Styela clava: one gene and its partners. The protein of the gene in region 4 interacts with the protein of the main gene of each other region in a biochemical or structural test. Links are inferred from orthologs where the notes say so. Each region holds a gene or a part of one and is shown on either strand. Other genes may lie near its edges.

The links.
Region 1: the proteins of sequestosome-1-like (region 4) and microtubule-associated protein 1 light chain 3 alpha-like form a complex in vitro, tested with the Homo sapiens proteins (6 studies listed by BioGRID and IntAct, with this or other methods). The link is inferred for Styela clava from reciprocal best matches to the Homo sapiens genes SQSTM1 and MAP1LC3C.
Region 2: the proteins of sequestosome-1-like (region 4) and dnaJ homolog subfamily C member 10-like interact in a test that uses a peptide from one of them, tested with the Homo sapiens proteins (2 studies listed by BioGRID). The link is inferred for Styela clava from reciprocal best matches to the Homo sapiens genes SQSTM1 and DNAJC10.
Region 3: the proteins of sequestosome-1-like (region 4) and gamma-aminobutyric acid receptor-associated protein-like 2 form a complex in vitro, tested with the Homo sapiens proteins (7 studies listed by BioGRID and IntAct, with this or other methods). The link is inferred for Styela clava from reciprocal best matches to the Homo sapiens genes SQSTM1 and GABARAPL2.

Annotation. Positions count from the first base shown.
Region 1 is NC_135250.1:15,924,843-15,932,704, reverse strand, and holds the start of microtubule-associated protein 1 light chain 3 alpha-like, read right to left. Parts: upstream 3,009-7,862; 5' UTR 2,994-3,008; coding exon 2,958-2,993; intron 2,513-2,957; coding exon 2,347-2,512; intron 1-2,346.
Region 2 is NC_135252.1:14,591,357-14,598,847, reverse strand, and holds the start of dnaJ homolog subfamily C member 10-like, read left to right. Parts: upstream 1-4,470; 5' UTR 4,471-4,546; coding exon 4,547-4,735; intron 4,736-5,406; coding exon 5,407-5,572; intron 5,573-6,319; coding exon 6,320-6,370; intron 6,371-6,808; coding exon 6,809-6,891; intron 6,892-7,491. UniProt on the Homo sapiens protein: Endoplasmic reticulum disulfide reductase involved both in the correct folding of proteins and degradation of misfolded proteins.
Region 3 is NC_135263.1:15,652,129-15,658,942, forward strand, and holds gamma-aminobutyric acid receptor-associated protein-like 2, read right to left. Parts: upstream 2,563-6,814; 5' UTR 2,498-2,562; coding exon 2,458-2,497; intron 2,139-2,457; coding exon 2,083-2,138; intron 1,979-2,082; coding exon 1,806-1,978; intron 1,570-1,805; coding exon 1,476-1,569; 3' UTR 502-1,475; downstream 1-501. UniProt on the Homo sapiens protein: Ubiquitin-like modifier involved in intra-Golgi traffic. Modulates intra-Golgi transport through coupling between NSF activity and SNAREs activation. It first stimulates the ATPase activity of NSF which in turn stimulates the association with GOSR1.
Region 4 is NC_135250.1:30,231,304-30,238,499, forward strand, and holds the start of sequestosome-1-like, read left to right. Parts: upstream 1-4,172; 5' UTR 4,173-4,256; coding exon 4,257-4,373; intron 4,374-5,544; coding exon 5,545-5,691; intron 5,692-6,429; coding exon 6,430-6,460; intron 6,461-6,811; coding exon 6,812-7,059; intron 7,060-7,196. UniProt on the Homo sapiens protein: Molecular adapter required for selective macroautophagy (aggrephagy) by acting as a bridge between polyubiquitinated proteins and autophagosomes.

The DNA of each region.
Region 1 (7,862 bases), about 14 Mb from region 4:
GAAGAAAAGAAAAGAAAGACTAACAAGATGAACAACAAAATAACAAAACGATCCATAGGTCCACTTCGGGACCAATAATATTCAATCCGAGTTTATTATAGTCGCTGTATCTCGTTTGTCCACATTGTTTAGTCGAAATATATAATAATAACGTTTCATTATTGCATGATCACAAGACCAACCCATCCACTGAATCGGAACTCCTCATTTCTCTTCCTAATTTGCGTTTACCGCTGCTGCGAATTTAGCGCTATCGCTTATAATCCTTTGCTGGTGTTTACTCGCACTTCGCTGCAAAATATTTTTATCGAAACAACTCAGCTGTTTCATTCATTTTGAAATTTTGTTGCCGGGTAGGATAGGAAGGTTAGAATTCACTGCATTAGAATACTTGAACGTTAAAATAAAATTTCCTCAGCATTATTTATCATGTCATTATTTCAGTCAACGCGACGTGGCAATATCAGAGAAACTTTTCGTGCAGACGATCACGTGATTCATCGTTCGCGGAAGAGAAGTGCAAACGGGGATACATCTCACGCACTCGATGGATTCCGTACGTCGATACCCTACTTGTTTGTTATAAGCGGTTCTTTTGGTGATCGATTCTAACCAAATAAAACAAACACATACACCATAAAAGAACAATTTTTTTGAATTTCCCACCTTTAACCACCTCTGGTTCACACTTGCATATACAGTACTTCAATAATGGATAAATCTGACAATAATATGAAATGAAATACTTCGAATTTTCCCATAAATTCCAAGATACCATGCAAATATATTATGTAAAGTATTTTAATTATATTAATCCGCACGTGTTTACGCAATTAATCAATTTTATTTGCTTTCTGTCGAAAGCAAACTGTTAGATAATACAATTGATAAGGCTTAATTAACACTTATCAATAATTACTGCATTTTTGACGAGAAAATTGCACCAATATAACATAAAACGCATTTTTTAGAAATCGTTCATCATGTAGTTTTTCAGTGATCTGTTTTGAACTTTTTCCTATTGGGTCATGTATTTTGTGCAATTGGAAGTACTCTCGGAACAAACGGCATTAATGTGACCATAATGACAATTCATATGAAATAGTTTGAATATGTGATGGAATTCTGAGATATACCTTTACCCGTGGTCAATATTGCACCATATATGGGTCGCATTTCCCGCCGATTGACGACGTCATATGCAACTTCACACACACACACTTGGAAAGTTAAAATGTAAGGAAAATTTCATCGGTTGAATTTTTGATTTATATTTCATTTGTTTATTCCGATATTATTTACATTTTCCTATAATTATTAAATATATAATCCTATATTAACTATTAAATATATGGACTTTACGCAAAAACTAATTCACCTGACGGGACCTATTACATGACCCATCAATGGGATTAAGGATTAATTCAACCTGAAACCAGAGCTTCTATTGTTGTTCGAGACTATTCCAATCGCATTTGACCTTCCAAATTGCGTTAGCTAAATGTTTTCGATCAGAAAATCTATACGATTGGCAGAAATCCGGAAATCTTTTTAAAGGCAGTTAGTTTCACTCATTCCTGGTGCGTGGTGGCACGAGTATTATTGATGTGGAGGAGAACCGTTGCTTACAATAAATACTTTGTATTCACAGACGTTTACATAGAGAGTAATAATAGCACATATCGAGCCTATATGCCTACTAGTTATTGTATGAAATAACAAATAGATTATGTCAAGAATGGAGACCGTACATTTGAACCCACGTACATTTGAACCCACGTGTATATCCGCGGGTTCAATCTATATGTGGGTGCTAAAACCCATGGGTTAGGGTTAGTATGAGTTCAAATATCCGTAAAACAAAAAAAATTTCCAAAAGTGCAATAGTATGCAGGTGCAATTGTCGTGGGTTCAAATGTAATGGAACCGTCAAAAATGCGTTAAAATTTTAGCGATTTTCTTATAAAATCTTCTTTTCCGACCCTGTTATATGTTTCAATCCTACACAAATAAAAATGTAAATTCTAATTATGACGGTATGAAAAGTAACAGAATACATAATTTATGAGATAACCCTTTAAATGCTACTAGAAATCGAAAATACATGAATTCTCAGAACAAAGGGTATGTCATGTGTATGTACATATCCAAATAAAACTACGACGACTATATGACGACAAAATCATCAATTTTCATTTATTCAATTGCCTCTGTACAGTATATATCACAAGTATGCGAATTCGATTTAGAAACTAAAACTATATAAGCATAACCGCTTTTTTTAGGGAACTTTGAATTACAAATACGAGATAATATGTAGTATAAATACACATTATATACACTTACCTAATGATTTCCTCTCTTTGAATGGTATATATTTGTATTCATTTTTTGCGTCTTGTGCTGCATTCCCGTTAGTAGGCGCCATGTGCAAAATCCGATGCAGTCTCTTCTTTTCCAAAAATATAATATCCAAATTTGTAACAAATACCAGAATACTATAAGTAAGAACCTATGATAAAAGATGACAAATTATTAAATACAAGCAAAGCTGAATTTAAAGGTGTTAGTAACCAAACTGTGTTTTCCTTTGAATTACAGATATATATATATCTAGGAATTACAAGCATTAGCATAACACTCGAATCCCTGCACAACCAATATATCATCCAAGTAATTCGATAGAAAAACACCACTGTGCTATTGGCAAATCAACAATATATGTAGCGCTTCACTACATTTCCTCAACCGAAAGCTACAAAATCTCATATAGGTATCATTTCAGCGTAATAGGTCGATTGCATGCTCTATCGCCTGAGAACGTATCGAGATAATAGCAGTCTGCTGCTCCCACTGTCATCAAAATTTATCTTACATTGTAAATTAGTGAGCATAAAAGTAATTATTCGCCTTAATTTGATTAACTGTGTTACAATAATGCCTGGATCTTTACTCACCCAACGATATTCAAGTAAGTAACATATATCAAACATCACAACATCGTCATAACCAACCGTTTAGTTATCTAAACATCTCAGCGTTATTACCAGAGCTTTTTTACGGACAGGCCTGAATGATTTCTAAATAATTATGGCTGGCGGATATCTTTCCAATCGTCACTTAACATTCGAAACGCGAAAGCGGTCTAACGGAAGTGAAGACTGTTGTATTTCCACTCATTGTTGATGTGTTACATTATGAGCAAATGTACAAGCAAATGCTCTACTGAAATGGTCGGTCATTCTTATCACAGCTATCTTGGAATCAATGAGTTGATAAAATGAATACGACTTTCAGATAGCTACGTAATCATCTTCTACCTTGGCTTTGTTATAAAGACTAATAATATCACATGTCAGACTATTTTCAGCTGAGATGCCTTGTATAGCAATTAGGCCATCACATTGTTCCACTCAAGGCCGTCTTCCGATATTATATCCTCAGTAGAAAGGGAAACAGTCCACAACAAACCAACATCAACAAGGAAAACCATCCAACCAAATCTTGACAAAGCGAAGGCGAAAACAAAGTTTACAACAGTGGAGTTATTGAGTGCAACGCTGTTTAATCTAATTAACCGTTGCGTCAACTAATAATTGACGCTGGTAATTGATAAAGCTAATAGGAAATAGTTTATCGCACCGTCTCAAATACCACCTTTATTCTATTCCATTAGATTTATATTGCAAACGGCGCAAGGACAAATCTTAAATTCGTTTATAGAGCGATATGGTTTGCGTCCGATTTCGTAAAATTTCGTGTTACACAAACTATTTATTTACTTTTTAATGTTGCAGATAATTACATACTTTTTGACAGTGTTTAGTAAATTAAACTGATGATCAGCTGATATAGTGATTAGTGACAGTTGACGAGTTTATGCTACATTTCTTTCAAAGAAAAATTAAGGATGGCATCATGGCGAACAGTGTGTCATGTGTGGTTGCACGTATTAATTCACACGCGTGACAAATGACGAAAAGCAAATGACGGAACTTGCTCTGAATTAATATCAGATTTAGGTGATCAGTCCTATTTATTTGAATCATAATATATATATATATACGCAATAATTAGTCACAAGTTGTCATTAGTCATGGTCGATAGAAGGAGAAATACCCGCCTAAACACGTTTGAAGTTCCAATTATTTACAATCATATATATATATGATTACGTTCTCTGAAGTCACGGGCTATTTTAATGACTAATTACGATACTCAAGTCCAGCACACTTATAGTAAAACAAAATAAAAAAATATAGAAATGTTTAAATATATGAACACACAGGCTTCTCAAAGGTACGGCTTTAGCTGGGCACCGAGCTTTTTGCTTAGATCGGTGGACAAGCGCAACAAAATAATGTGTTCGTATCAGACTTTGAGTCATGAAAAGTGTTCTCATCAAATATATTGAAATTTTGGGTGCAGAAGTGTGTGTAGAGATAGGGAGGTAACTAATTTTGTTCGCCTACTTTACATCAAGTTGTGTAAAGGGACTGAAACCTATGGTCAGGGGGTATATTCACTTGGCTAACACAGAAAGTCCCCGAACTCGTAAAATAAGGAAAGTCGTAATAAAATTATGGCTTAACCTGATACACACACTACGGGAGTACCAAATTTTGGGCAAAATTTCGGGTAACATACGACTACGAGAAAAATAAAAGTAACAGTCTTCTAGCGACTTCTATTTTAAAGTACAGAAACTTTGCTACTGTCATTTTGTGTGTAAATCTGGAGATCGATATTATATGGCGTAAAAGATGCTGAGACATAATATACAAATGGCTTTCATGATTCAATCTCGTTCAAAAATGCAAATTGGAATCATGGGTACGGGAATTAGTTGAATTTATATATATATATATATATATATATGTGTGCACAAAGTTTGATTAAACCACAGTCCGATAAATCTTTTAAACCTCTAATAGATGGTGAATTAGATTTACAATATAAAACATCTCATCAAATAATTAACCCTTTTTTCAAATAGACTCGAGATTTGTTAACAAGAGCAATTGAATAGATTTTTTGGTTCAACTATTCTCAATAATGCAACCAAATCGATTTCGCAATACTGTCAGTGAGAAACTCCAGGCAGTTACTAATGATGGTAATTTCGTTAGCGATTTCTGTTGGTGTGAACGAACTCATGCATAAGTAAAATACCTGACCTTTGGCAAGCACGACAATTATTCGATATGACAATATTGGGTACTCCCGTAGTATGTGAACTAGGATGGGGGGGCACCGGAACGTAGAATGTGTACCAAGTTAGGGATAGGCCATAATTTCAGGTACAAATACTACGGGAGTCACTTGGCTAGTCTCCGAGTTCGTAATAGAACAAAAATAGAGAAAATTGGAATAAAATTAGGATCAAAACCTAACCTGGTACACATACTACGTTCCGTTGTCCGCCATCTAGGTTCACATACTACGGAAACGCCCAATATTTAGTAAAAGGAACAATTGGAATATTCGTGCAAAAGTAAATATTTTACAGTATGGTCACTATTTACGATCTGGTAATAAAACAGACGATGTAATCAATCTGGTAAGAAATGGCAGTGGCTGACACAAGATATTTGATAAACTGATTTTAGATTGCACAAAATTGCAGCAACAGATATTTTGTATGCAAATATAGCAATCAAAATCAATCCGTTGCCATTACGCAAAATTCATCATAATCGTAAGTGGGTAACTCGCTGCAAGAACCGTGATAATAATATCTGTCTAAAGTAAACGCTTGGTGGATAAATCCAACTCGTGGTTCAAAGCACATCTTAATTGCTAAGATCAATAAAATAAATAATTGTTTTACTGATACCTGTCACAAATACCTCATTTTCATTTTTGTCGTCGTTTTTTAAAGCAGTTGATGTAGGCTACTCTATAAATAACACACGTCTCTTGTCGCCCAACCAGTCTAAACTCCTCTCAACGTAATCTACCGCCGAACAGCCGGTACTTGTTTACCTCCAACAAAACCTTGGGACAAAGATCGCTCGATGTGCGTCGATCGTCGATAAACAACAGGCAACTGGTTTCACCTGACACGCAAAGGTGCCACAAGCGGCTTTATTGACTTGATTCACTCGGCGCTAAATTTGTTGATTTCATACTACGTAATTAATTTAACTTGGGTAATATGGTGAATGAATTATTCACCCAAGAATGTATCTTGGTAGAAATGGTTCTCGAATGGATTCTGTATTATATAATTAACAATGAAGAAATTTTCTAACGAGACCGGAGGAACACAATAACAATGAAGAGAGCGTTTTATTGCCATTTAAACGGTCATATGACACGCTCTGCTCAATCTATGCGGTCCGTTGCGCTGATAGCAATACATGCCCCAAGGTACATTACGTCAATTATAACCATTTGGAAAGTTAGTCCCTGACGTTTGACTACAAGGCCAGGGAGAAGTTAACAACATAGGTCATACACGGTCACATGGCTGCATGGTGTTAACTCATGCTGTGCGTTCCACTAATGGTCTACACTCGTCATGTCGTACACAAATAATTCTTCGTCTCATCATAAAACTTGTTATTCTATTCAACGGAACAGAAGGAAGAAAACGTGCGTATATCACCGTAGAAATATCGATACAAAGCCTGCAAATGTGTATTAATTTTGGGTCTTGTGTAGTTTCGCACCTAACGTACTTCTAGTAGGCGTAGCATAACAATTTTTTGACGTGCCAATCCTAACCCTCACCTGATTACAGCATCCAAAAATTACGTCACTACGACGTCACAATCACGTCATAGAGCTTGCCAAATACTCGTACGATCGCCCGAAATGACGTCGGCGCCGACGATAAAGAACTGACTAACGTCAGCGATCTCTCTCCTATCGGGATCGTTGCGACGAGAAAACGAGAGAAATGACTGTTCGATTTCGGGTTATCGTCTGCGCGTCTTGGATGACAGTTCGCATAGTTTGAAGAGCTCTATTACGTCACTGTGACGTCGTAGTGACGTAATTTTTGGATGGTGTGGTCTGGTGGGGGTTAGGATTGACACGTAAAAAATTGTTATGCTACGCCTACTAGAAGTACGTTAGGTACGAAACTACATGAGACCCTTAACTTTTAATGAATTATACCATTTGCTTATATACATCGGATCAGATCGGCTATATGCCGGAGTCGGCCAACAAGAAGACGTAAAAACAAAAGGTCTATTCATTGACATTGATCATCAAAAACCGTTGAGTCTCGACTCAACAAAATAATTAATCTGCTACCAGACCCATCCACTGCGCACGTAAATGCAACTTTTATAAAACAGTAAACTAATGGGAAATAGTAAACGACGTATATTATAAATACAGACCCGCACATAATTCAAGTCAATATGCCGTACGACGGCTAACCCTTTATCATTATCTCAAGTGAAAGCTACACTTCGCCAGTCATACTGTTTCTCAGATCAATTCGTCAGCGACCAAAACAAATGTCCAAAAGTTACTGATATTGAACACATGGCAAATACGTTGAATTTATCTGGTCGGTTTGTTTTGACTACACTTGGAAAGAGTTTGCGTCTTATCGTAAACTGAACGGAAATCAACTTTATCTGTTCTGTACTCCTGCGAGTATTCTCTCTCAGCGATCGGATTGGAATCGCTGACCGCGCGACCTCGCCTGCCATCTTCTCCTGTCAGCGTGGCTCCCGGAATCACAGACGTACGGTAATTATTTTATATTCTTTCAACTCGATTTTAGCTTCTACCTTTATGTTAGTTGTGCCAGATATTGAGATTACCAGATTTGAGTTTATCATATAAACAGTTCGCGTTAAAGAACTGGGCTCATTAAATGGAGATAATGGTTTCATCAC
Region 2 (7,491 bases), on a different chromosome or scaffold from region 4:
TTACCTAATTTCCTGGCACCTTTTTCTTGTCAATACTCCAAGCTGAGGTAATAAACATGACAATACATTTATGTCATCTGGAAGCAAAATATGCACACTAATTAATAGTTTGGCACATTGAGATAATACATCATGACAGAAAATACAAGTTAAAGATATGTATGACCATCACATGGTAATTAAAATTTGAAAAAAATTAATAGGGGCTGTGGAGTATGGAAAGTTCAAGACAAAGAAAAGAACAAATGTTCATAGTTCATGAACTCTCAATTTTGCCTCCATTGCTTTGTGAAGGCCAATATATTTCGAGTGGCTGAATTGGTTTACCTTTATGATAGCAACGATTTTGTATTTAATATAGCGAGATTATTTCAATTTAATTGAAGTGATATAATTTCCCAAAGCAATGCTTGAATCGTCTAGAATAGATCAGTGGTGTCAAACTCATGGGTTTTCGAGAGCCGCATTGCATTTTGAAAATTGTAAAAAGAGCCGCAAACAGTTTTTGATAATGTATACTTAAAAGATATTTTTAAGATAGTTTTAGTTTGTGACATATATTGTGATGCAACTAAACAGTTGGATTAAGTTTTATTATTTTCTTCAATTTCAAATGCAATTACATATTAATATTTGCATTCCACTATTATTGCAACATTTGCAAGTTACAGTATTTATTATAAAAAATCGTAAAATTCTATGTACAACCATCAAAATCATTTTTGAACAAGCTTTGAATAAGGAAAGAATAATACATACACTAAAAATAACTTATCTAAATATATGAACCTAAAATTAACAAAAATACTACAGTATAAACTCAATGTTTTAATAATTACATTTGTCCTGGCGTTTGGCATTTTTTTGTGTCACCAGCATACTAAGGCCAGTCTGAAATGATTTTATAGTACCAACTCTAACTAACGAGGCCACATGATCATGGGTTTATCTGGATCTTTACGAATGTTTAATTAATTCCAGTAATGCAAAAAAGTTACTTTTATCATGTATAGATCAGTAAAAAAACAAATGACAGATTTTTTCGACAAGACATTTCGCACTACATTGCGTGGCATAGGATTGCTTGAATTATTATTGATATTGATTTTTAGTAACTAAGTCGTTGTATAATTATATTAATATACAAACACATGGAAATTTTCTGTTCGAAGTTGGTCTTCGAATTTGTCATATTGACTGCTGAGCTTATTGTGTTTTTTGATTGTATTGATGGAAATATGACAAATTAAACAATGTGCTTCAGAATTTTGTGAAGAGCAGAAATGTTACAACTCCCATTTTCTTCGAAAATGCCACCTTCTTCATGTACTTTGCGTTTAATTTAATTACTCAAGTGTTTTATTCAAGTATTCTTTTGCTAGCTTGATGTGTATTCTTAATTGGGTCAAAATGTGGACAAAAAAAATCAATATTTCAAAACTACTTTCAGTAAATTGTTTTCTGTGTGAATAATCAATTTCACTTTAGAAGGTTTGAAAAATCTATTACATTTAGATAAAAATAAAAACTTCCAAAATACTATTACAATTACTGTTAAGCGTTCGAGGGCCGCACTGGAAGTTCTCTGGGGCCGCGAGTTTGAGATCCCTGGTATAGATTGAAGTTGTTCAAAAAATATATGATAGTATTTTATCATGAATGATGATTATACCCCTTCCGGAATTTCTTCTATAGTACTACCAAAAGTTGATGAACCAAATATAACACAGGTGCAGTGAGGTACCCGTTATCCTCATTTCCAAAGCTGTTTTAAGTATGTCTGGCGTGTTTTGTGCCTTTTTACAAATAAGACCGCTTATGCAATCTTACGCTTTGGAATTTTTAGTTATTTTCCTCAAGCCCTGCAGGATGTGGGGGCCATACACAACTCTACCGGAGGGTCAAATGTCTTTGCATGCCTCCATAGGTTGTTTTTCTATTGCAATTTTCTATTTTCAATTGCATTATATTTCTCGGAATCACACTGTCACTGATATGTCGCCAGACTTCTGATATCTCCCCGTCTGCTATAGTTGTCCTGTGAATAAATAATAGGAAATTGAGATTGGACGAATAGTTGAAAGTTTTGCTTTATGTCGGCTTAATTTCTTGATTGATATACTTGCTATTTCTGCTATTGCCTCTTGTGCTGCAAGAGTCTCGCAATGCTTAGACAGGTTTGTCCACAACTTTCACATCTGAAGAAAGAGAGGAGATTTATTAATTTTCGTTAAGAATAAATAAAGCAGTCTATATGATTCAGAATGGAAAAGCTAATAAATCCAATATCTCATGTTTTATTTAAAAAATATTTTACTGAATTTGGTATATAATCAATCAATCAATCATCATTTATTCGTCAACACAATTTAAACATGGTATGATATATAAAAAAATAATTACAAATATAAGTGGAAACTAACTTAAATTGTGTGACAGGAGTCGCGAGGGACCTCAAGAGGTCTTCAGGCAGCGACACCTAAAACGCTTGTTGATTCAGGTTAATAGCTTAAAAAGTTAATGAAACACCAAAACATTTCAAAATAAATATTTTGAAGAAAAAAAGAACATTTTCAAAAAACAAAAAATACCAAATATCCATCATAAGTATTTAAAATAAAAAAAAACATAACATCCTGGTTACGAGCATGTTTTTTTATTATTTAAATCAGTGACCAAATTCATAAAAGATGAAATGCACCGTAGAATTAAACGGTTGCACGAAAAGACATAAAATATGTTATATATCGATGTGGAGTAAAAAAAAAATATAACGATTAACTATAATTCCCTTTAGACTGAATCTTTCAGTATCCCCTGACATGATGCACGCAAGGTCTTTAACCAAAATTTGGTTTTCAAAAATTACGACTCCACGCACATCTGATTCGTTCGCAAACCAACTAATAAAAGGGTTTAGTCAGAAAATTACAAGCATTCGTGGCTCCAAATACTTGAGAAATCAGACTATACAATATAGACCGGTATGAGTGAAATGTTAGGTGAACTTGTTAACACTTTGATTCAATACGCAAATAAAAGTGAATGCGTAATAGTATGTTACAATGAGCAGCAATCAACAATGAGTATATATCCTCACTGATTAAAAAAATCTAACTGGAGGTGCATGAACTATTTGAAACCATAAGGGGTAAGTAAATATGTAATTTCGGCAAATGGGCGACTACGTACCGTACTGAATTAATAACTTCGTAGTATTTGACAAAGGCTGGCTTTCCCACATGTACTTAACAGTGCAATGCCCGGGTGTGATATACAACAATAGTATTCACCTTACCTTTTACCGATTTCTTTTTACCCCAACTTTCAAAAATATCATTAAAATCGACAACAACTGTCAAAGCAGGCACGAACACCATTCGTGCTACGCCTTGAAAGCAGCACACATCCGCTCGTTTTCGTCTCGCCAAGTATGTGCATTGGAGCGTGCTATCGAATACGATCTTCGGACAAAAATGCCGGAGTTGCGCATCATGTTGTTTAATGTCATTGGGTACAGCTATATATATTTATTTTTTGTATATCAGAGGGGTGGGGGCAGATACGAATGAGGTATTATGTTTAATATAATCTTTGGATACATATTTCAGTTGGAATATTCAAATATTTACTGTATAATTCTAACAAAGAAATTGTTTCAATTTAAACTTATACATCTTAGCATTTGCATGCAGTGCCTACGGTATTTTGGATGAGCTAAAACATTATCAGTTTGGTCTTGGTTATTTAAATTAATTGAAAAACCTCCATTTAATAGAGTGAATAAATTTTCTTAGTTTTCATTGTTATCATGACACTGAAAGCACTTCACTCCCATGTATCGATATAAATAGGGCAAAAATAACAAAAACATGCAAAATTAATTACAAAACTTCTGCGACCGAACACTTGTCAATCAAACGTACCCGGTAAACCGTATCGCCATGACCCCGGAAGTCAGTTGATTGCGTTGCCAAAATCAAATGTGTGAATGTTGTTATGAATTGCTATACTGTCTGTATTATATTGTATTAGCTAGCGTACCGGTACAGTTTATTTTCATTTAAATGCTGATTTGGTCGTCGCTTAGGTGTTCTGAAGTTGGTTTTATTTTTATACTAAATACCGGTATTATAATTAAAATTACTAAACAAACTACTGAACTACGGCACCGCAGGTCTCTAGGTACCGGTACCGGTACCGGTATTGAGGTACCGGTAGGCCTAATTGGGTTGGAGCATTGCAGTACCGGTACCGGTACAGGAAAAGGGGATTGAAGTGCCGGTATTCTGGTATTGATATAGCAGTATCAGAGTATAGTATTAAATATTGAACTTATCCTGTTTGTTTATTGCATGAAACTAGCTAATACAGTAATATCAACATGAGTTTGATGCTTTAATCGTTAGGCCATTTCCGGTACGATACCGGTACCGTACCGGTATTCCCACACAAACTAACAGCGTTTTGATTTATATTTTTATCCAGACCATAGTTCAACTTCCAATCATTGAATCAACAAAGTTATCAATCTGTGATTAGGAAAATGATTTTAAAGAAAACTTTATTTTTATGGACAATTTATATAATTTTTGTTTTCTCTTTCCAACTCGGACTTGTGCAATGTGAAGGAGATTATTATGATGTTTTGGGAGTTTCAAAAGATGCAACAAACAAAGAAATAAGAAAAGCTTTCAAAAAATTAGCATTGTTGCATCATCCAGATAAAAATACAGTAAGTGGTATACTTTTGTAAATTGAAGTTCTTTCAACTTTTAGGTTGTGATGATACGGTACAGCGGTAAGTGTTTAACCCAACCTACCAATTGCTGAACTATGTCTGCATGTGGTCATCCAGTCACCGTTGGTTACAAATTTTGGGTTTATATTCTGCAATGCCCCCCACCTCACCCAAGATGTAATGAATTAACGGGTCCCAAATTATAGTAGCTTCCCACTTAGCATTAAATGTTTATTTATAGCCTTGTCAGCAGTGGAAGGCTGAACGTAGCCTATAATATACAGATATACGGTAATCTCTCCATTTTTTTTAAACCCCCGAAAGCATCTTTCACCTTTGACTATTTGGTTGCCCAGTACATTTTTAACTCCTGAAATGTCCTCTCAATATGAAATTTTAGTAAATTTGCTACAAATCAGTTGTAATAAAGTTTGAGATATATCTATTTTATCATCTACATCAGTTGTGTGCAAAATTTGGTAATGAAAGATCTGAAATATTGACAAGGGCCACACAAAATGTCTTGGCGGGCTGGGACATGGCCCGCGGGGGCCGGATTTCTCATGGCCCTCCACTTGCACACCCCTAATCTAGATAATAAATTGATTAAAAAAAATGAAATGTGCTATTGCTCTTATTTATATTTATATATTTTCGATTTTTAGAATGATCCCCAAGCACATGAGAAATTTTTAAAAATTACCAATATTTATGATGTTCTGAAAGATGAAGAATTAAGAAAGAAATATGATCGATACGGTGAAGAAGGATTGAAAGATGATTTCAAGGAAGGAGGATATGAAAGTTACAACTTTTATAAAGATGAATTCGGTATGAAGATTGTTATTCTCGGTGACCGTACATTTGAACCCACGTACATTTGAACCCATGTGTATATCCACGGGTTCAATCTATATGCGGGTGCTAAAACCCATGGGTTAGGGTTAGTATGAGTTCAACTATCCGAAAAACAAAAAAAATTCCATAGGTGCAATAGCATACAGGTGCAATTGTCATGGGTTCAAATGTACGTGGGTTCAAATGTAATGGAACCGTTATTCTCATACGGGTTACAAATAGTGCTGGGTAGCCATATCACTGAGCTGTGGCATTTTGTTGGAGCAGGAGCTGGAGCCCAGCGTATCATATTCATGGCGCTACCAGAAATTTTAATGGCTCCAGATCTTGAATTTTCAATATAGATTTGAAACTTTTTGATTAAATTTGCATAATATAAAGTTTGAATTGAAAATTTAAAACCCTTATATCATGATTTTGAGTGCCATCGAAATTGCATTTATGTTAAAAGTTCAATGATAGTGGTCTGTTTCAATGTACTGTGGTTCCATAGCTGGAGCCATTGTGATTTTGAACCATTTCCCCAGCCCTCGTTCTAAATGAGGCAGATTGAAAAAAAAAGCCAAAGTGGGCTATCTGTAATATTTTTTCACTATTTATGCATTCAAAATATCAAGTTCAGAAGATATTTCATGTAGATGTACAGCTTTGATCATGGCTCTGAAACTCAAGTATTCTCTTCCAAGGTTTCAAATTTTATTCATTCATTTTGTTTTGCAGGAATCTACGATGACGATGCAGAAGTTACAACTCTCGATAGATCAGATTTTGGTAATGTGTAATATAAAGATAATATCCTTTAATTTCAAGTGACTAAGAAATGATATTTATTTTCTGATTTTTTGAGTATACAAGACATGAATAAGTTGATCAGTATTAGTCTGACAGATGGAGCCTTTAGTTCGTATAGAATGGACATTGATGACTAAAATTTCACATAAGACCATAAAATGTATAAAATATCATTTCTGTAGTTATATATGCATATGTTAACTTTTTTATTCGGTTGTTTTTATAGAACATCTTTTTCGGTATGTTTCTCCAGTTCTTACTCTCCATAGCTTTCTGCTCTTGGACAATTTACTTACATATAAAGAGTAATCTAAATACAATTTGACTTCAATCTGAAACATGATTTAAAAACAAAGGGTTGGGCTAGAAAAATGGCTTTTTTTTGATACATCATGAATTGTTATTTTAATTTATCAGAATCCGCTGTCAAATCTGGAGAAACATGGTTTGTTAATTTCTACTCGCCAAGATGTTCACATTGCCATGAACTGGCCCCGACCGTGAGTTCTATTCATTTTTATGTTTTCTTTTATTGATGTAGTACAATACATTACAAAGACTTGTGACTACAAATAATAATAATGATGCAGTAACCGACCAGTGTTCATGTGAACCACCCTATGCTGATGAAGATTCCAACAATTCTCTCGCATATAATTTTTTTCCGCTAGACTCTAACATGTGAACCTGCCTAGGGTAATCAAAGATGTGATGGCAAATTTGTTCCTAGCGTGATGCTCTGATTGCTGAAGTGTATATATATACATAAAATGATAACAGTAGCGTTCCATATTTACTCAATTTTGCTATCCTAACTTCAATGTTATAGTCATAAATTATAAGTTATTGGTATCTTAAATATATACAGTATATATCAGGGGTGTGCAACAAGCGGCCTATGAGCCACGACGAGCTATGTAGTGTGGCCCTTGTCAACACTGAGATTTTCCCCAATCAAGCTTGAAATTTTAATCCGACAGTGTATGTTTAAAAAGGAACACACAGGTATGATTATGTAATGTTTTTTCACTTGTCGCAGCGTTAAATCTTCTGCCGTTTTGCCTGGTGCCCTCGTTACTGTATCTGTAAGTAATAATTTT
Region 3 (6,814 bases), on a different chromosome or scaffold from region 4:
TCCAGTAGTTAATAAGAGCGACTTTTCACAATAAGAAAAGTATTAATAACTTGATCAACAACAACATAATAACGAAACGATCAATATGTACAAAAAGGCTGTAATGGGAGTATCGAGACAACGGAAATTTCATAGACTCTAGGATCGATGTCACGAGTGATGCCATTTCTAATAATACTGGTTATACAAAGACAAGGGCCTACCTGCCTCGTATATAGCAGCTGGCAGGAGAATTGAACAATTTAAGACACCTGTAACGGACTGGGAAAAAACTTCTAACCTAAAAAATTCACTAACAGTGTATGAATTAGAACCAGCAGCTAATTCAGTGGAAGGACAGGCACCAGGACATAAATTTCAGGCGAGCAAAAACCGGTTTAATAACTATAAATTAATCTTAACTAAGTCACATTTTATGAACTTGTCCTTATGAAATCCTAATTGGATGCACAGGTAACAAAAAGCATTGAATACCTACAATCTACATCATTCACAAGCGTGCAGAGTGTTAATGTAGGCTAAATATTCACATGTATTCATATAAAGAAAGTATTTAAAAATATACACCCATACATCTAAACAAAAAGTGCATGTCAAGAAAAGTGGATGGTATTTCCGAATCAGCTTCATCTCTTGCCCATCCAGGATCAAATATAATTCAGCACATGTTTTCTGACTAATTGAAATGCACATGTGGAAACAAAAATAAATACAATACAAAGCATGAGTGGTGTGTAAGATTAAACAAGTTTGAATACTTTTTAATCAATAAAAAGGTTATGAACAATTAGCAAAATGCAATTTTGATTTCTTTAAACGACCAGGCTAAAAGTTTAAGCGCTTCATACCAAAATTATTATTCCAACATTTCTAACTTTTTAAAAAGCAACAGATATACAACAGAGCTACTGAAACATTTTTGATATGTGATTTACTGTGGGGAGGAACTTGAACAACTTTTCAAGAACACCATACTACGAATTGAAGCTAAGAGGTTGAAGGTTAAACTTTGCAGCCTTAGAATGAGAGACGGAGGTGACCAAATCGTCAATTGGGATAAACTCTTACAACAAGTGCATGCTTGACATTATCTTAACGGAGAAACAATGGCGGTGTTAACTTACATATTACAAATTTGACGCAGAAAATACCATAAAATTTTTAAAAAATATTATAATAATATTTGAACTGCAAAATGTGTTAACATCTCAGTTGCCTTTTCTGTCTTACAGACATTATTGATGTGATTTTGAAATTTTGTTATATCCTAAACATTTCAGATTAACTTGAGACATTTTGGACATAAATTATTGTTTACTTTTGCAAGTCTATACTATGACAAATAGCAAATTTCACCAAGACAACAATTTAAAAATTATCCCACACAACAATAACAATAAATCCTAATCGAATAATTGTGATCCATTTAATAATCTAACATATCTTAAAATTGTATAGTTTATTTTGCGCTGTTTTCAGGAGCTGCCGAAAGTATTTTCACCACTGTAAGCGATGTAGAGAAATCCATCTTCATCTTTGTGTTCCTCATACAATGCTCCCATTGTTAAACTAAAATGAGGAATAGGAGAATTTTCGTTAGTCTTGCAGCATTATGCTGAAATACCATACAATGAAAATGCCTAGTGATGCCAATTGTGTAGTAATAAACCATTACCAACAAGGCCTTTTGACATCTGAATACCAACGTTTTTTTTTTGGAAATTTACACCTTATAAATATAACATCAAACATACCCAATTTGTTCATATTATGACCTTACCAGAATATAATTTTTTGAGTCTTACCTAGAATTTGGAACCATTTTACAAACAAATAAGAAAATAGCCTTTTCTGGAGCAAGTTGAATTCTTTTTCTTATAATCCACATAAATTGACCAACAGTAATATCTGCAGGAACGAGATATTTTCGTTTGTCAATATTCACTATTCCTGAACCCTCTGCTTTTTCAACAATTACCTGAAAGTTTGGAAACAATTATATTAGGACAAGTGTTAGGAAAAGGCAAGATATTTGCAAACATTAAAATACAAGCTAATAAATGAAATATATAATATACATACAGGAATTCTATTTGGATATTTCGCTCTTATCTTTGTAGACTCATTGCACCGATGATCTGAGAAAAAAAGATGTGTTAAAATGATATGTAAAGTCACTTCACAACTTATCAAAGTCAAGTGTCAAGTTCAGATTGTTCACACCAATAAGTATTCAATCTTTGACACCTAATTATATAAGCAATTAGGAAACTCTGAAATTGAAACTGCACAAGTACGCATATTTTCATTCATTTCATACGCATTCCTTTACACAACATAAACCAATAGGTGAATAGACAATTTGTTCAAATCAATGAAATCAGTTCATTTTTATTCCACAAAGTTCCACCAATGCTCAATTACGTTGATTGTAATCTCTCTTATAATTGAACTTACCAAAATTATGATCGAGTTTAAATTGCCACTTCATTTTCATCAATTGGAAATAATAAAATTCTATATAAAAAAAAAATTTACTAAAATATTTTTATCACAAATTCTGTTGAAAATAAAAAACAAAAGTATCCTCTTATCCTCTTATTATATCTTTTTTACAAGTATGAAGTGAAAAAATATTAGGGTTATAGCTGAAATTTCACTTAGGTGAGGAATCTCAACAAATCAAAACTAATTGATTAATTTGATTGATTGTTAGTTCCTGTTGCTAATGATTCATTGGATTTAGCTATCAAAATTTGGATGATATTGGATTATTCCACACCCATCTCGCTTGTTCGGAGATCACTATACTTCGACATTTCCTCCATTAGGAACAAGATTATTTTATTATCGAAGCCAAGAAATGTTAAAAAATCATCTCCTTTCTCAAATTAGTCGAATAAATAGAGAAAATATATTTTTCGAATAATTTTATGAATAAACCCTCTTTCCACATATTTTATACCTATTCCTGTATTCCAAGACTGTAGCGAAGACATAAAATAAAACCAAATAGCCTATTTCTTTGTATCAATATGCTATATTATTATTTTGTCATTATTTATGTCACTATTTATAGCTACGCCTATTACCAGATTATTGAATAAATAAATTCGCCCAGAAATAGCCTAGTCAGGAAGTTGGTTTTCCCTATACAGCTATATCAGTATATCCGGATGTCCCTGTATTCTGATAATGTTATTAGAGATATCGGTAGGCAGGTAGGTACCGGTAATACAGTAATAACCAAATATACTACAGTAGTTTTTAAGGACTAGTTGCCGTTGCATCTATAACCTACAGACCTGAGTCAGTACCGCAGTAATTGCCAGTAGCTTGTCGCTTTGTCTTTCACTAGCGTCACTCGTCATATGACTAATCAGTTTTGTTGTTGTTATTGAGTGACGATAATCACGTGACGAATCGGGCACGCCCCCATTGTGTCGGATATGCGAAAAGTTGGGAACTACTCTGGACCTTTCCCCGAGCATCGTTTTCCTTGTTTACTTCGTGACATTGGCCAATCAGCAAGATGCAAAAAGTGACGTAACAATGTCCCCTTTTCGCATCCGCTCAGACACTTTTCTCACTCAGACAGATTTTCAAGTGTGGTTGTAAACATTACCTCGTTTTCGCGTTTTTGAACTCTATTCGTTAGTTTTCAGTTGTGTTTCGGAAACTTAAATATAAATCAGATAATTCAATGATCACTCTGTCTTCCTAGGAGTTTTAATTTGATTGCAGTAATAAAAATTAGTGTAGAAATAGCTGTGATAGATTAGCCTGAAATTCTTTACCGGAACTTTTAAAAAAAAGATTGTTGTATGCGATGAATCATAATGATGGTTTGTAACACATACCCCATTTTACAGGCGCCAACTCGCAAAAGCACTCTTAAAATGGCCCCGAAAATTTTGCAATGGTAAAGTATAGAAAGAATTATCCGGGGGTCAAAGGTCGGGGAAAGGTCCATAATGTTCATTCGTTTGCAGATGACCAATATATTTATTTATTATATTCAGTTTTAGAGTAGCTTTCACCTTCGCAAGTAGCCACCTACTCCGCGGGATTGAATTCTGATGCTTCCACGTGAGTCTCGTGGGATAATTTTTGACTGATTATTGTCTGCATGACCCCTCGAGGCGGTAAAGCTGACAAGACGTTTTCTCCTTCAGTTTCCAATAAATTTCCAGCGTGAGAGTGGTTATCACCATTTATCAGATGCATTGACCTGATGTGGATGATGTCGTAACAATCAAGCGGTTACGTGAACCAAAGCGTATATATAATAGGCTTATAAAGACGTGAACCACCCTACGACGGCAATGAGACCAGCACTCATCTCATGCATAAATATCCCAATCGGATTTCGACCCGCGTGGGTTAATCAGGAGTGCGACGGTATGCGTTTTCTTGTGCTTGCCCTCTGAGATTCAAATCTTGGCTTTACTGCCTCCTCATTTGACATCGTATTCCCCATTTCTACCCAACCTTTTCACATAGGCAAATTGTAATCTAACCATGTTTTGTCTTTTTTGTTTTTTCCCACTATTGGTGGCGCAACAGTAAAACGATAGTATAAAATTTGGCAGAATAATTTCAATATTCAAAATAAGTGCGTGAGTTCGACCAGGATTGCCTAAAATGACCATGTAAGTGCTCAAGACATTTAGTTCCTTGTGTTTGTAAAATCCTCCGAAAACTACGCATACATACTAGACCCCAGCTGCTTTTCTAAACTTCCAGATATTGCAAATGTAGTTCAAAACGATGCCTTCAGCTAACAATATCGAAGTATAACCGTGATATACCTTTTTTATAAATGAGCTTCCCAGAAGTGCCTAAGCTTTTGTTAAATCAATTTTAGCGTAAGTAATGTTCGCGTAAATCCTCTTCACCTGGGTGCTGTCATTTTTTAGATTTTAAAAAAGCAGCTGTCGCATGGATCCGGTAAGTCTCATGATAATCATTTGCATTCAAAACACATATCATCACAGCCATTACGACCAACTCGAATCGCGGTCTCTCAACTAGTAATCAAAATATGACTTATGTTGAAAACGTTTCACCGTTGATTTATTAAGCGTTATAATGGGAAGGATATAGCCTACCGCGAAATAGATCAATATGTCAATTAATTGACTATTTATTTCATAAATTTTTCATTGAATTGGGGACATCGAACTCCTGCACATAGTCTTTCTGCGGCAAGTCTCCTGAAACTTCTCCATCATTTCTGCCGTCGGAGGATTCCATGTCGTTTTTGATGACCAGTGCCACCATATTTACTCGGTTCAGTTGAATAAATTTTTGGACCTACATTGTTTTTAACATGTGTGGGAACAAACTTGCCTAGGGGTCAATTGAGGAGGTTATTAATGGCAAGTCTCTTTGGAGTCGAAATAAGCCTTGCGGTCTGGGCGCTCTTACCGCTTGGACACAAATCACCGCAGCTCGGTATTTATAATAGGACTTGTTGTTGCCGACGAAGTAGGCCGTATCAAACTTCATGATATACCAGTAGTTGATTTCAATATTTTGCATAATGTGGCTCATTGATAGGGCTGGGCATTTTTGAATATCTAATGCAGTGGTTCCCAACCAGATTTTGGTGAGCCACGAAGAGATTTCATTTTCGAACTTATTCCAAGTGATTCCAATCCCTTGAATTTCCAAAGAATTGTTCACGGCTCTTGCTAACAAACAGAAACTGCAAATTTGTCGATGTCAACCAAGGTAATAAATTATTGTGCGAAATTTTTCCCAAATTTGACCAAGGAATTATTATTTGACTAGTAGAATTGCGATTATTGCCTATTTATTTAATTAATATTTAAACTCAAAATAACATTCAGGATTTACGCAATGACTTTTCAGGCTTTTTATTCACCATTCAATGTGAAAATAAAACAGACACAATAGGAAAGCAAAAGGTCAACTATCGTTAAATATCCGCATTTCGACGTCAGAAATGATAATATTGTTAGCTTAAAGTTGGGACAGTTTATTTATAATCGGTGAAGAGAAAGATCAAAACCGACCTAAAAGATAAAAATCAGAATAAAATCCCGAATTCACTCTTTAATAGCCGTCTTTAACATATGTCGCCCATATGAACGCATAGTTCTCCAAGAAATATAAAACCAAACGTTGCGTAAGAATTAGTCCTTGTAAAAAAGGAGAGGACGGGCGGAAATAGCACACCAACATTAGAATGCCTAGCATTCTGGATGCCCATTGTATTTGTATTGAAAATATCCGATATTCGACAATTCGTTAAAAATATTCGATTCGATAAAAATATTCTATTTTGCCCATTCTTGCAATCTCGAACACAGACAGGGTTATTTTTCGCATAGTTTCTGCGGTCTGAAAAGTCGAATAAGCGTTTCGACATAGTAATGCTACTATCTTTGCCATCAAAGTAGGCTCGGGCCTTGCACGAAATTCATAACGTCGGTGAAAATTGTTCACAATAACTTTAAACCTATTTAGTCTTTTTACTCTTTTTTAGCGATAATAACTAATTGTTGTAATGAAATACGGTTTGTTTGCCTTATTCATTTCTTTCCCTAGTGCCGACAATTACACCGTTGAATGATTTTGGCAATGGGAGAAACATTAAATTGTAACAAAAATGAATTAGGTTGTGCAAAAGTGAGAATACCTGTGATAACAATAACGCTACACCCAGGGGAAGGGCGAGAAAAACCAAAGCGTATCGCGTCACGTATTACCCGTGCGGCCGCGCATCTTTTAAAATAATGTGAGGTGCTCCGGAGGTGGGTCTCGTGTACATTATTGTAAGAAAACA
Region 4 (7,196 bases):
GACTTGAAACTCACACAACAACATATAGAAATAGAGGTACTCCTGAGGTATGCGCACCAAGATGGCGCACAACCTGAACTCAGATTGTGACCAGGTTAGGGTTCAGGTTATGCGACATCTTGGTGCGCATACTTCAGGTGGTACGAAAAATATATTTAAACGAAGGGTGATATCTCTTACAAAATGAAAATAAGTTGTCAAAGATAAATCGGTGTGTTCTTCAGATCAAAATTAGAGTCGCAGCTACAAACCAAATTAACTTAGCATACTTACCCACTTATTTCGCCTTTGAATTTGCCTTTATAAACAGGACCATTGTTATAGTGTAATGTTCTTTGTTGGTTGTAGTGGTAATGGTGTTGTACTATGGTAACACCTGGAGCGGGGCGTTCGTCAGGACCAGCTACTGGAGGAGCAGGTTCTGGTGCTTCTTCAGGTTCAATGTCTTCTATGATGGGTTGCCCCCCAATCACTCTCCTTGATTGAGCATGTTCTTCATGCTGTAAGTCCGAGATACCGGGTTGTTGGGGATGACCTGGAAGTTCACATTGAGCAGCTGGGGGTGAAGGGTCACCTTCACTAGAATTAGAGGAAACATTTGGTTCTGTCATTATTATATAAATCTTGGAATGCTAAAACAAACAACAAAAAATGCGCATTTTATGATTTAACACATTACAGAACTTCATTCCATAAGTAGCCATAGAGAGTTGTAACTTTTGTGGCTAACAGGATCAAATTATTTAAAGCAAGCATAGGACATACGGGTTGACACAACAATCTCTTTCAAATTGTGTAAATTCAAAGTGAAATGCTGGAAGAAATCTAGATTATTTCAGATTACGATGGCTAAAAATATGCACCAAATGATTTGTCTTGTGCATAAACCCGCTGCAAAGTTTTCATACTGATACACGATTAAAACATTATTCCAACTTGTTTAAAAATATAGAAAAAACATGTGCCTATTCGCGACAGTAAAAGCGCAATTTATACATTATAGTAGGGCTACTCAACTGGCGAAACTCGGTCCGAATCCGGACCTTCCGAGTATTTGATTCGGAACCCACCTAATTCTTTATTTTAGAACATTAGCCCCACTTTAGATATGTGAAGGTTTGCTTTTAATATATGACTTTTATAGTTTTAAAAGTTATTATATTTAATCGAAAACTATTACTAAACAAAATATGATTTCATATATATAATTCAAAATATATAAAGTAAGTCTTCGTAAAGGTATAAATTGCATCCTTAATCGCTTTATTTCCATCTCTGGTAATCCACACTGACAACTATCGTTTTTTGTTCTGTAAAATACCAACTTATTCCACGGGTTGTATGAGACAAACACACACGCTGCACATTTATAGAGTTCCCTTCATATTATAAGGCATGTTTATTAGAAGAACCAGTATCTCATGATATATATGTCAGACACTACATTTACAGATAATAATTTATTTTTTGATAATAATATACAGATAATAATTTGTTTTTTGATCTATTTTGAGTTATTTTGGGCCAAGTTAAACGTTTCGCTAGAGGTGGAATTTTGATAATTATACAAAGTATGGGAACACAAGTCTTCGTGGATTCACGTAATCATTACATTCAACAACAGCAAAATACACAAAAATAAAAAGTGCTCTCTACCTCGAACTCGTCGCCAATAGTACGCTTACGGTCGTTAAAATACAATCGGTTGTAAAGTATTATTGGTTTCAAAGTCAGCTCTAGTGGAATATGTACCAACCATGAGCCTTAGTTAGACAATTACTGAGTTTTGCATTCGTCTTAGGCCCATGATAAGTGAATGAGACAATACCTGGATAATGTATGGAAGATAAACTGACATATCGAAGACTACTTCATGGACGACGTTAAACAACTGCCGATTTGTATATATATCTTCGACTCGTGCCTGGTAAATGACAAGCGGAAAATTTGCGGCGGTCGACGATACGTACCTAATTTATGACATGACGCGACGCAATTTATGACGCGCGACAAAGTAAATATTTTTTGGTAATTGCTGAACTCTTCGACATCCCTGCGCCATTAAAATCTATGCATCTGAAACGAATAACTGGTTAACTGATCCCATTCCCAATATGGGCTGGTACGGGATTCGAGGCCGTGGTTCGCTATATGATTTTTTCTTTTCGGAATTCACATTTCGTAATGAATGTGAATAAAACATGGAGCAGTTGGCGGCAGGTTACCGGTATACGGTAGGCTATGTCGCTATTGTGACGAATATGCCCTATTCTGAATACGGACTGGAAACAGCACAAGAGCTCGTGGTTCGCTATATGATTAAGCCGTCTTATCGGCTTTCATCTACTCCAAAATTCAAACCCACCAATGAAACGTGGGACAATCAAGAAAGATATTTGAAGTACGGCATAGATTGCCTGAGAGAGAAACAGGCCATCCAAACATACACAGGCCGCGTCTATCACATCAAATTGATTGACACCATCTGTATTTCACCATATTTTGCACACAAAATAAATTCGTATGAGAAAATATATCAAACGTTCCGACCCACCGCGTGACCATAACACCGTAAATATTTCGGAAATTGATGAACTCCTCGACGTCCGAGGTCGATTACCTTTTCCTCGGTCATCGAATCTGCGCATCTGGAACGAGTTACTGGGCAACTATTCCTCGATATTACCGAGAGGCTGTGGTTTGCGAAGTGATTATTTCGTCTTAATCGTTTACCTTTCCCCAGAATGAATATGGAAAAATATAATTGTGTACTGACAGGAACTAGTCTATTCATCGCCATATGATTAGGAGTATAAATTTATCTAGTATCGAGTAATGGATATTAATAAAACATAAGCAGATAAAAGCATAGGCCACAATGTATTTGAAGTACGGCATAGCTGACATGTGAAGTAAAATAGGCCATTGAAACTCACGCAGGACACGTCTAGCATAGCAAAATGATTCACATGACCTTATTTCACCATATTTAGCACATGAAATGCGAGGTAAAACCCTCACGAATGTTCTAGAAAAAGAAATTACTAATATATTAAACATTACGAACCACCGCGCGACCATAACACAGTGATAATTCCGGTGAATCCCCTGGTCACGAGATATCTCAAATTACACGTCTGCAAATATAATAAAGAAACAAAGAACAGTCATCGTCACGTGATCACGTTGTGCAATCAAAACAAAGTGGCGGCCTCCATGTTTTGCTGAATCACAGACAAAGAACGTTCTAGAAAGAGTTATTTTGGATATAAATTCGCGTGACTTCTGTTGGCCCGAGGCATAGTCTTGAAAATATTTGTTGACGAGACACTGCGTTGCGTTGTTTTGCCATATTGAAGTTAAATATTTTGATTTTAGAATATATATTTTTGCAGCTAACCAATTAAATGTTATTTTGGTATTGGCATTTCGGCATTCTGGCATTGGATTGACATTGAATGTGACGGCGCCTGTGCCGAAATGTCAATACCATTAATAACATTTATCCTAATTGGGATAAATTTTAATATTGGTATTGGCATTTCGGCACAGGCGCCGTCACATAACCTCGAATTGTTGTTTTTATTCTTCACGAATTTCACTCATCCAAATTTTACAAATACAGAAATAGGCTTCAACCGTGAATTTTATTTTCTTGGTGTTTATGTACGATGTTCATTAATTTATTCTAGTACTGTAGTATGATTGATGTTTTTCCATTTGTGTTGGTGAATAGGCACAAACGCTGGTTACAGTCAGATAGTGTTTGCTATAAACCTTTATCTTGGTTTTGCCCATTTTCCTGATCTTTCCGTCGTCATTATTTAGATTTTATACATAAATCTGCAGTTACCAGGTTACGGAGTCAAGATAATAATGTTGAAGTGTAATAAGCAGTTTTCATACTGATGTAAGGTAGTACAGTAGTACCGGTACCGGTAACTTTTGTTTTTATTTTGTTCCTACAAAATATATTATCATGATGGTGAAGAAATACTGATTACTGAACTATTAAAAAGTGGTTTGCAGAGCAAGGTACCTACCGTACACAATAATTCCTGAATTCTGTGAGTAGAGCATTTTTCAGCTTTCCTCTCAGCTGGATTAATTTCAGAGTCTACAAAAATCCGATTACAATATTATACCTACATCTACATGCATTCCAATCTTCTTTTCCTTTCAATATTCTGATATAGCATTAGGATACAATACTTTACGATTAAGTACGAATTGAAAGCGTTATTTAGAATAGAATAATGTCTCTACAATATAAAGCATACCTTATCAAAGGGAATCCGAACAATGTGAAAGAAATTCGTCGTTTCACGATTGATACAGACGTCTCGTCAAGCTATGACTATTTGAAGAACAAGGTAAGAAAAACTTGGGATAAAATACATGAATTTGATAGTGGATAAAGCCGGCGCCTACCAGCATTTATGTAAACCACCCTACAGCGATGACAAATCCAGTAATGCTCTTGCAACTGACTGGTATGACATGGAACTTAACAAATTTTTTAAAAAAATGTATTCTACAAAACGAAAAATAATGGGAACAGCTTTCAGCTGGAGCGAAATGAACAATTTGTTAAATACTGAAATAGCCCTGTGTAGCCTTGTCATTTATCTGTTAATTGGGTCATTTTATTTTTTTTTACCTTATTTGTAAAAAAGGCAGTTAAAGCTTGCAATTCAGTACTCTTTCCATTTTTAGTTGATTGAATGTGGCCTAGCTTTGTGAAAACTTGTATTAAAACTATGGCACAGTTCTCCAATTCCAAGATGTCCCGAAATTTAGTTCTATAAAACAAACACATAAGCGTCAAATTGCGCCATGCTTGTCTGCATAATAATATAAATGAATTGTAACCGTCATGTGCCCAAATTTGCGTTTTTTGGCTGCACTCTTGAATGCTACAGTAAGACTTTTCATTTTTCGGTATACCGAATCAATTTTTTCCAATAAACTCAGTGGTTGCAAATTTAGATGACGTCGAAATGGAGGCCCTGACTGTCTTGTAAAGGTGGGGTTTGCACTCACAGTTATATTTGATGTCTTTCAATTCGGGGTTTTTTTTGGAATCAGAGTACAGTATGTCTTCTGGTTACGACGGTCCCGACAAACGCTGTTTCGTGGTTACGAACGCACTCCATAAAAATATAAAAGATAATACTAATTACTACAGAGCCTCTACCATCTACCTACTCGAACTTCTCCACCATCTTATTAATACTGTACTGTATTTGCTTTTATTCATTTGATATGGAATTGTTTTCTGTTTTTCTAATAAAGTACTATTTTTGCATTATTTGTACATTTTATTTCAGTACCATACTTTACAATATAGTACGATATGTATAGAGTAATTATATATAATGTTTCGACTTACACTGAAATTCGGGTTACACGGCGTCTCAAGAACGGAACGACGTTGTAAGTCGAGGACTCCCTGTATTGTGTTGTACTGGTCTCGCATGCTTGTTTTGCGTAACCAAGGATAAAGTTCTTTTCCAACACTTTTCATTTTCAATATGTTAACAGGTTTCTTCAGTGTTCCCTAACATCGGTGAGGCGTACACTCTGCATTACAAAGATGCTGAAGAGGATTTCATTTCCTTCAGTTCTGATGAAGAATTGATGCAGGCTCTCGGTCAAATTAACGATGGATTGTTTCGTCTGTTCGTGAAGGTATGTAGCTGCTACAGGGGCGTAGCCAGGGGGGGTGTCGAAACTCCCCCCCTTTTGAAATGTAAAAAAAAAGCATATCATACATAGCGATTTATAGTAGCTTGAAATGCTTTTTACACCTTCAAGACTCATAAAAACACACATTTTCTGGCGTTTGACCGGTCCTAGCTGTTTCGATCTAACTTGACAAACAGATATTGCAGAACCCCCCATTTGAAATTTTTGGCCAATGCCCCTGAGCTCCTACATAAGATTATACTTTTTACAGGCATAATAATTAGTCAAGCGTGACTGGGCAGCATTGGTACTGTATAGATAATATAAGGTTCTTCTGATTAGTGAATCCTCATAATATATAGTGTCTATAAAGTCTTGAAATTTTTTAAAATTACAAAGGGAACTTATCGATACCATATATTGTTTTGGACCTCACGTGGTAATAAATGAAGTTAAAATACTTGAACAATTCCTGAATGAAAAACAACAAACCTGGTCAACATATATTGAGGACTGACTTCATGACAAAATTGAAATTGTGAAGGGACTTCATGGAAACTCTGTATATTCTTGCAAGGATGATGATAGATATATCTTCTAATATGATTCTGTTTGATTCTGGCCCAATAAATAAATCAACCATGACTGGGCAGCATTTCAATTGCATTATTCTATTTTTTTAATCCAGGTATTCTAAATCTGCTTCAATTATTTTTTAAACTTTGTTTATCTCATTTTCAGGTTAAAAAAGATGGAAACAACGGCGAAAATGGTAATTACTTTTTAAAATTTCGCTCATGCCTAGACAGGGTTGTTTAAAACTGATTGAATATCGAAGTATTTGAATACTTTTTCAGCAAATTTTAGATTATTCCAAATGATCGCCACTTTTCGCTGCCAGCCACGTGATTTGTTTTCGAGGGAAATCTTCAAACAATTTTCTGCGCTTTTTCATGTATTGTAATGACGATTAAAAAGAATCGGCACTTTGATTGTTTGTTTTCTTCGATATTACAAAATTATATTTTCGAATGTTTCTGAAGATTTTTAAGTAAGAGCCTTAGTTGTTGAGAGAACCCAAAAAATATTGAAATAATTTTTTAACAATAAATTCCTTTTTCAGCTACAGGAGAGGATTTCTGCAGAGGATGGAAGAAATTTGCGAAACAGTTTGGGCATGGCCATTACCCCCATGATCAAGGACGTTTTGGGTTCCCCCCACGTCCCCATGGACCTCATCATCCTCCACCCCCTCCTCATGGACCTCCTCCACATCAATGGCAGGGACAGTTTGGATTCGCGCCCCCACCACACCCCCACTCATGGGGGTTTGGCCCTTGGGGTCAGCAAGCACCTGGCTGCCATGCACAGGTACGTTCTTTTGAGATAGGATTTCATATTTGAACTGAGGGAGAGAAACGCTGTCAAGATGATTTTTGATATGGCCAGCTATGCTCTTAATCATATTATGTCATCAATAGTTGGTTTCATCTTAACATGGATTTTAG